2 linked regions of the Coturnix japonica genome follow. The protein of the gene in region 1 purifies or fractionates together with the protein of each later gene. This does not show direct contact. Links are inferred from orthologs where the notes say so. Each region holds a gene or a part of one and is shown in the gene's direction. Other genes may lie near its edges. The genes, in order: ASXL2 and OGT.

The links.
Region 2: the proteins of ASXL2 (region 1) and OGT purify together in Homo sapiens (affinity purification with mass spectrometry; 3 studies listed by BioGRID and IntAct, with this or other methods). This does not show direct contact. The link is inferred for Coturnix japonica from reciprocal best matches to the Homo sapiens genes ASXL2 and OGT.

Annotation. Positions count from the first base shown.
Region 1 is NC_029518.1:95,657,628-95,661,442, reverse strand, and holds part of ASXL2 (putative Polycomb group protein ASXL2), read left to right. Parts: intron 1-114; coding exon 115-220; intron 221-887; coding exon 888-1,593; intron 1,594-3,113; coding exon 3,114-3,815.
Region 2 is NC_029519.1:2,145,831-2,149,645, reverse strand, and holds part of OGT (UDP-N-acetylglucosamine--peptide N-acetylglucosaminyltransferase 110 kDa subunit), read left to right. Parts: intron 1-1,303; coding exon 1,304-1,456; intron 1,457-1,786; coding exon 1,787-2,039; intron 2,040-2,198; coding exon 2,199-2,322; intron 2,323-2,869; coding exon 2,870-3,044; 3' UTR 3,045-3,815. UniProt on the Homo sapiens protein: Catalyzes the transfer of a single N-acetylglucosamine from UDP-GlcNAc to a serine or threonine residue in cytoplasmic and nuclear proteins resulting in their modification with a beta-linked N-acetylglucosamine (O-GlcNAc).

The DNA of each region.
Region 1 (3,815 bases):
GCTCAGCTGCCTAGGGGGTGGTGGAATCACCGTCCCTGGAGCTGTTCTGGAACCAATGGGGATGTGGCACTGAGGGACATGGGCTGTGTACATGACCCTTCCTGCATTTTGCAGGTGAGTTCACACCAGAAATGCAGCTAAGAATACGTCAAGAGATAGAAAAGGAAAAGAAGGTTGAGCTGTGGAAGGAACACTTCTTTGAGAGCTACTATGGCCAAAGGTAAGGAACTTCAGCATCTTTTTTACCTCCTCACTGCCTCACTGGGCACACTTAGTCCTGTGGATTTCATGTGCTGCCCACCAGTACACCATTACCTTTCATCAGCCCTCAACAAGGTCTAGCTTCATTAGATTCCCGACTTGTTCATTTCTTTTGTAAATAAAGATGAATGAACAGGACAGGCAGTCTTGGTTCTAAGCTGAGGGTCGGTCCATCGGTGGTTCTGCTGCTGGCCAAAACTGGGAGATGTTTTTCAGGAGCCTGGAGTCCCTTTCAGGAAGTGTCACCATATGAGCTGAATCTAGATGTGGGCTGTGTGAGGCACTTTGCATATGGCAGAGATAGGCCTGCAGGGACGAGGAAAGGAAATGTTTACTGTTGGCCAAATTCTTTTGGTTTGCAGCTTGGAAAGGGAGTATTTGGGCAGAGGCCTCGATCTAATGCGTGCTCACGTACTTTGTTTAGTTGGTTTTAAACACTGCTATCAAGTTCTGTTTCATTTGGAAGCAATAACAGCAGTGAAGGATTTCAAAGATCGTGGCATCAAATCAGTACGAGTTCTGTTTACTTTGGGTATGGCATTTAGGCAGCCCTCTTTGTGTTTGTAAGAATAGCGTGCTTTGTGCAAGGATGTTTCACAAAACAAAAATTCTGCTTTTCTTGTTAGTTCTGGATTAAGTCCCGAAGAGTCTGAGAGACTGACAGCCAACACCAGCGCTGATGATAGAGAGGCTGAAAAGCCAGCGGCAGAACAGCCAAAATGCATGCCAGTCAAAGAAGAGATGACTTCTCCATCGGAGTTTAAAGCACAAGTGGTCCATGAAGCACCTGCGGTGAAAAAAGGAGAGGAGAAAAGAGGAGAGGAGGGGAGAGAAGAGATGCAGCCCAAAGCAGCCAAACCTGCCGAGGCCTCAGCTTCCCCAGCTGGGTGTGCAGCAAAGCCCAGTGACCCCCAAATCCAAGAGAGAATCCAAGCAGAACCCATCCAAGAGAAACCACAGCCTGCTGTGAGCCAAAAGCTGGAAGAAGAGAGGAAGCACACTGCATCAAAGGAAGTGAAGGAGGCTGCACGTGCCCCGGTCTTGGCCCCAAGCAAACCAAAGAGCCCTGAAGCAGGTGAAGCAGTGGCAAAGGTGACAAGTCCAGTGGTCGCCCCACCAACGCCAGAAAAGAAACCCCCTGTAAATGAAGAAATGGAGGTCAGTGTCGAAGGCCATAAGAGGAAGTCAGAGAGCAGTGAAGGAGCTTCGACTACACCTGAGAAGAAGCCTCGCATTGCGGAGAAGTGCCAGCAGCAGCAGCCAGCATTTCGCAGCCAAACGCAGTCCTTTCCTCCTGCCGGGCCCCCCGTGCCACGCGTGCCCCCACTCAAGGTAAGGAGAAAGGAAGGCAGATGCACAGAATGGGTTCATGTTGGTCAGTGCTTCTGGGTCAGCTCAGTTCTGGTTCTGCATGCAAGTTATGTTGCCTGCTTATTGCTGTGACGGAAATGTTTGATCCAAAAATGCTGTTTGCTAAAGGGAATTGAATTCAGTGAAGTCTCCTGGACACACACATCTGCTATGAGACCTGCTTAACCAGAAGCTCCAGCAATTACAGGACTGAAATCACAAAGGGAGCTGCAGCTCAAGAACACAAGGAACTTTGTAGGTGTAGTCCCATTGGTAAAAGAACAGGTCTAGAAAGAATGCTGCCAGCAGTTTGCTCTACAATATCAAGCTCAGGAAGTAAATTATTTGCCTGTGTTAAAAATAAATCCAAAAATGATGCGGTTATCATTAGTACTGAATGCAGTGAAGTATCAGAGGACTATTTTAGGGAACATCTCAATTCCAAAAGCCTTTTATCTGCTGAATCTTAGCAGGAATCTACATATAAAAAGATGACATGGTCTTGAGTGGTCACAGGCGTGGACTGATGGTTGGAATAGATCATCTTATTGGTCTTTCAAACCTTTATGATTTCATGATTCTGTGAATTAAGCAATAGATTCACAGAAAGGAAAACAGAAGCAAAGCTTGAGAGTGACAGAAGGGTTCCAGGCTTTGGCCTGAACAGCGCTCTTCTCTCATACTTCAGACATAGGCCACAAGAAACACACCTGCGATTGAGCTTCCAGGAAATTCCCAGCTCAGCTGCCTTGTTCGGGGCCTTAGGCAGAAACTGTGCATGGAAAATGATTCAATTGCTCTATTTCTGTATGTTCTGAGAATTCTAATCTCTTATTAAGATTAGAAGGTAACTGGGAGTCAGCGAAGTATTGTGAATGTATGAAAACAAATGTGACTTCAAGGGATACAAGCTTAAGTCGCTACAGATAAGAGAAAAGCACTACTATGAGTGCACTGATCTCATCATTTCCATTTTAGGAAGAAGGGGGGATCACACAAAGTAAACTGCAAAGGTGAGGGGAGTGGAGAACGTATGTTCGAAGACAGGACTAAAATTTGGCATTTTATGTGAAGATGCACAGTAGAGTATTATTAGTTCATAAAAGGACACCAAGGAGTGAAATGACATGCAGGAGTAGAAGAGCAATTCACAGATGTACAAATGGATGTGGGTTGCTTACATGTAATTTTAAGCACAAAACCTACACTAAGGGGGTGAGAGGTGTTGAGTTTTGTTCACTTTTGAGGGAGCTCAGTAGGCTTTGTAGTGATGGGGTGTGCTGGAACAGTGGGCACCTCAAGGGAAGAGCTTCCAGCCTGAGTTAACGAGGTGATTACAGACCCAAAATAGGTGTGCCAGACATCAAAAGGATGTGGACCTTCTTCTTTGTATTCTTCTCAAATGAGAAGTTAGAACTCCGAAAGCATTTATCTAAACTGTCTTTAATGATGTGGGTCAAACATTCCCTGTATATCAATTCCACTTTTCTCCTCTCTTACAGATTCCTGTTTCCCGAATCTCCCCCATGCCATTTCCTGCGGGCCAGGTCTCTCCCAGGGTACGTTTCCCAGCCTCACTCATCAGTCCAGCCAGAACAGGCGCCAGAACCTTGGCGGACATCAAGGCCAAAGCCCAGCAGGTCAGGGCTCAGAGGGCAGCGGCCGCCGCAGCCGCCGCAGCCGCTTCTTCGGGGGGAGCAGTTCCAGGGCCGGGCCCCGGTGGGGGCCCAGCGGGCGGTGGAGGGACAGGCAACGCAGCGACGAGCGGAGCTGGTGAAACTGGAACACGAGGAAACGCACTGGAACTGGCAGGAACTGGAAGCGGGGGAAGTTCGAGAAGGTTTCTTCCACGCTGCCCAGGGACCCATTCCCCAATGGAGACCCAGGAGCAGCCAGCAGCCCCCAGTCTTTCTAGAGCACAACTACAGCAAACTTCCACGTTGCAATCCAGAAGTGCAGCTGGCAATACAGGTACCAGCTGCTCCTCCCCAGTGGCATCAGCGATAGAGCAAGTCAGCAGAATCAAACAGAGCCCCCCAAACATGGCTATAAATCAGGATTCGGGCTCCTCATGTGCTGGTGGCTGTGACAAACAAGAGAAAGCACCTTCTGCTCCAGCAGGTCCCGGCCAGGCCTGCGGGGCATCAACTGTCAGGGATGGAACAACTTGTGTCACTGTGTCCTCAGCAGATAGCAACGCCAAC
Region 2 (3,815 bases), on another chromosome or scaffold:
CTCTGTAACTTTTAAGTCTCTTTTGTGATCTGAAGTTTGTGGAACTTCCCTATGAATTTCTAGGGGACTATTTTTTATCACTGGAGACCTTTTTATTATTACTGCTCTATCCATAACCTCATGCTTTGGTTTCTTTTAATGAATTTTTTGGTGCCCAGCTTAGACTTCCTTCTGAGTTGGCAATAGGCTTCATCTTAGTTTGATCAGTAATCTTATTGGCTTTCTTTCCTGGAAATGCTGTGCCCTGAAATAGCAGGGAGTTTCTTGTCTTAATCACTCCACCACCAAGAGAACCAATCTAAGCTGCATTGGTGCCCTTTTAAAATGTGGTTTGATCTCTTGTGAGATTTTGACCTCTTTTGATCATACTAAGATAACCCTTCTTTGTATGTGTTGTAATGTGGGGTATTGGTACTATTAATGTGCATTGTGGTTGAGGTTTTTGGTGTTATGGGTCAGTAGCACTCTTACCTATTTCTTTTGAACTAAATTATCTTGTTTATCTTCATGTCTTTACAGTTTCAACATACTGGCTCCATGTTCTAACAGAGTCAGTGACAGTGAGTCATTCCCATGAATGTCAAGTTTGTCAACAGTACATTTATTTTGGCTGGCAGCAGTGGCAGTGAGATAAACTTTAAATATATATATATATATATATGTATGTAAAACATTAAATTTAAAACAGACAGAGGCTGTAAGTACCTGTTTTGCCATATCTGTAAGGACGTTTCCTTCTGACCATTGCCTATTGCTTAAAAACAAACAGAAAATAGCCTACAAAAGTCCGTCATTCTGACTTTGAATTATACTTCCATTTTACTAATCCTCAAGACTAAGAATACTAAAAGAAAAAACCCATCCACCCCAACCCCCAAAACAAACAAAAAGAAATCCCTTTGCTTTCTAAATACTGTTCTCTTCTTCCTTCAAGCCTTGCTCTCATTTTTAGTTTCGAGGCAGTGAGGTGACCTTAAGGAGGGGAGTGCTCCTTAAATGCCTCTTCTTTCTAATGACCTGGAATTGCAGGGAGACGTAGCCAGGGCATGAAAATGCCCAGTGTTTTGTTCCTTGGTGGTTGTAGCATCGTGGTATCCACAAGCATGTACACACACCACTTAAATTCTTGTTCTGGGTAAGTAGACAATGTAGTCTTTGTATAAGAAGTGAAAGATAAGCTTTGAGTAACTTCTGATGCCAGCACGTGTTGCAGTATGTATGTCAGGAATGTTCCATAGGGCATAAGCACGTTTTCTTTATTTTCAGCATTCCAATGGCTTTATTTTTTTTTTTCTTTATTTAGATTAACAACAAAGCAGCAACTGGAGAAGAAGTTCCACGAACCATCATTGTTACCACCCGTTCTCAGTATGGCTTACCAGAAGATGCTGTTGTATACTGCAACTTCAATCAACTCTATAAGATTGACCCTTCCACGCTGCAGATGTGGGCTAATGTGAGTATCTGTGGATCTGGAAACTAAGATCGAACCTCTGGTCTACAGTGGTATTAATTTATTCAGAAGTGCGTTGCAGTGAATGAATGAGATCGTGGATTTCAAGACTTACTTTTCAAGTGCTGCTCCATACTCGCTCAGAATTGTTTCTTTTTCAGCAGCATTAGGAATTCAGTACTATTGTGGTCTTGTTTTTTGCTCTGTGCTCCAAGAGAGAAAGTACTGAGTGACGAACGCTTTTAACTTCATCTTGTTACATCATGACCTCTTGTTATCCAAATAAGGAAAGCTTTCTAACGTAACTGTTTTTGTCTTGATTTTTTGTTACAGATCCTAAAAAGAGTTCCAAACAGTGTGTTGTGGCTGCTGCGTTTCCCAGCCGTAGGAGAGCCCAATATTCAGCAGTATGCCCAAAACCTGGGTCTTTCCCAGAACAGAATCATCTTTTCTCCTGTTGCCCCCAAGGAAGAGCATGTGAGGAGAGGGCAGCTGGCTGATGTTTGTCTAGATACTCCACTGTGCAATGGGCACACGACGGGGATGGATGTGCTCTGGGCTGGGACTCCTATGGTCACCATGCCAGGTAACGCTGTGGGAAACCTGGATGGAGTGGGTGAATTTGATACCGTTATTGTAACCATAACAGGGAGTGGGTCTGGCAGACTTCCTCATTTCCTCTAGAGAAACAGGTCTGCACTCTGTAGCGTGTTACTTGGTAACTCCTATTTGTGTGCCTTTACAGGTGAAACGCTTGCGTCACGAGTCGCTGCCTCCCAGCTTACTTGCCTTGGTTGTCTTGAGCTTATTGCAAAAAGTAGGCAGGAATATGAGGATATTGCTGTGAAACTGGGAACTGATCTGGAATAGTAAGTAAACTTGCACTTTGTAGCTTGTTAGATCAAGAATGAAAGTGCTGTGGTGGGTCACAGTGTTGAGTTTATCAGTAGTTGTGCGTATTAGCCTAATGTTGGAAATAGGACAGTTCTCATCTTGAGGTGTTGTAGAGTCTTGCAGTTAACTCTGCTTCTGTTTTTGCAGTAAATGTAACAGGGCTCCAGTAACGTGGCTGCTGTTGTGAAGGAATTGCTCAAGTACAGGCTCTTGTCTGATTAAAAACTGCACCATATTTCACTTTTAGTTCTTGTAGGTTGAATTTGAAACAGTTGTAGGTTAAAACTGTGCAGTAATACAGAGCAGAATAGTTCATGTGACAACTGAATGTCACAGCTGTTCTGCTGAGATAATGCTGGTTGTATCAGAAACGAAGAGGGAGTGAAACAGCCACATGAACTTGGTGTGGAAGTTGCCGTTTTTGTACTGGCAGTTCTGGGTCTGCTGAAACCCATTTTAAAAGCAAACAGCACTGAGAAGTGTTGGGAAGCGTTTGTGACTGCCTTCAACTTATTTTTGCAGCCTGAAAAAAATACGTGGCAAAGTCTGGAAGCAGAGAATATCCAGCCCTTTGTTCAACACCAAGCAGTACACCATGGACCTGGAGAGGCTTTACCTTCAGATGTGGGATCACTATGCTGCTGGCAACAAACCGGACCACATGATCAAGCCAGTGGAAACCAGTGAATCTGCATGAAGAGACTTGTCTGTGTGCCCAGCCAGACCTGTCCAGGAACTCAGCCTCTCTAACACTTGTGCAGAGACGATGAGCTAAAAACTGTGCATTTCTACTTAATCTGCCTGGTACTCTGTGGCTGAAATGATACACGATGGTAATTAGAGCACAGCCGGACCGTATTTCTTGCATGATAGGGGAAGACTCTATAGAGCCTGGGATCCTTTTATTCCATGAGGAATTGGAACGGGATTGAGCCGTGTACATGTGAGCCTCTATGTGTGAGAGGAGAGGTTGGTGGGGGAAGTTTGAACTGCCCAACCAATTACGATCCCTTGGATTTGATGCAATCTTCTGACGCGTTTGTCTCCTTATAGATTGGGAATTGGAGCCTCTTAACGATTGATTTGGGGTACTCCTGGTGGTATACGTGTGCTTCTCCCATGGCAAGATTTCCAGCTAGCGAGTGTTGCTCCCTGCATTCATTTCTAGACTGTGCGGACTGAAGGGCATATTTGCTGGTGTAGTCTTTTTTTATAGGTTTTATAAACCACTCGAGCCTATATCAGCCTTTTAATGTTTGACCTCTGTTTTGGAGCTCTGTAACGTGTTGGTTTAGATAAGGACTTTTTTTGTTCCGTTTTTGTTTTTAAGCTTCTCCAATAACAGCTGATTGGCATCACGATGGCAGCTCCTATTCTGTTAGAAAACCAAATTTGATCGGAAAACGAATCCTCCCCCAAAAGCGTTTGAGGAAAAGGAAAAAAAAAAACCCACAAACTGGTGCCAAAT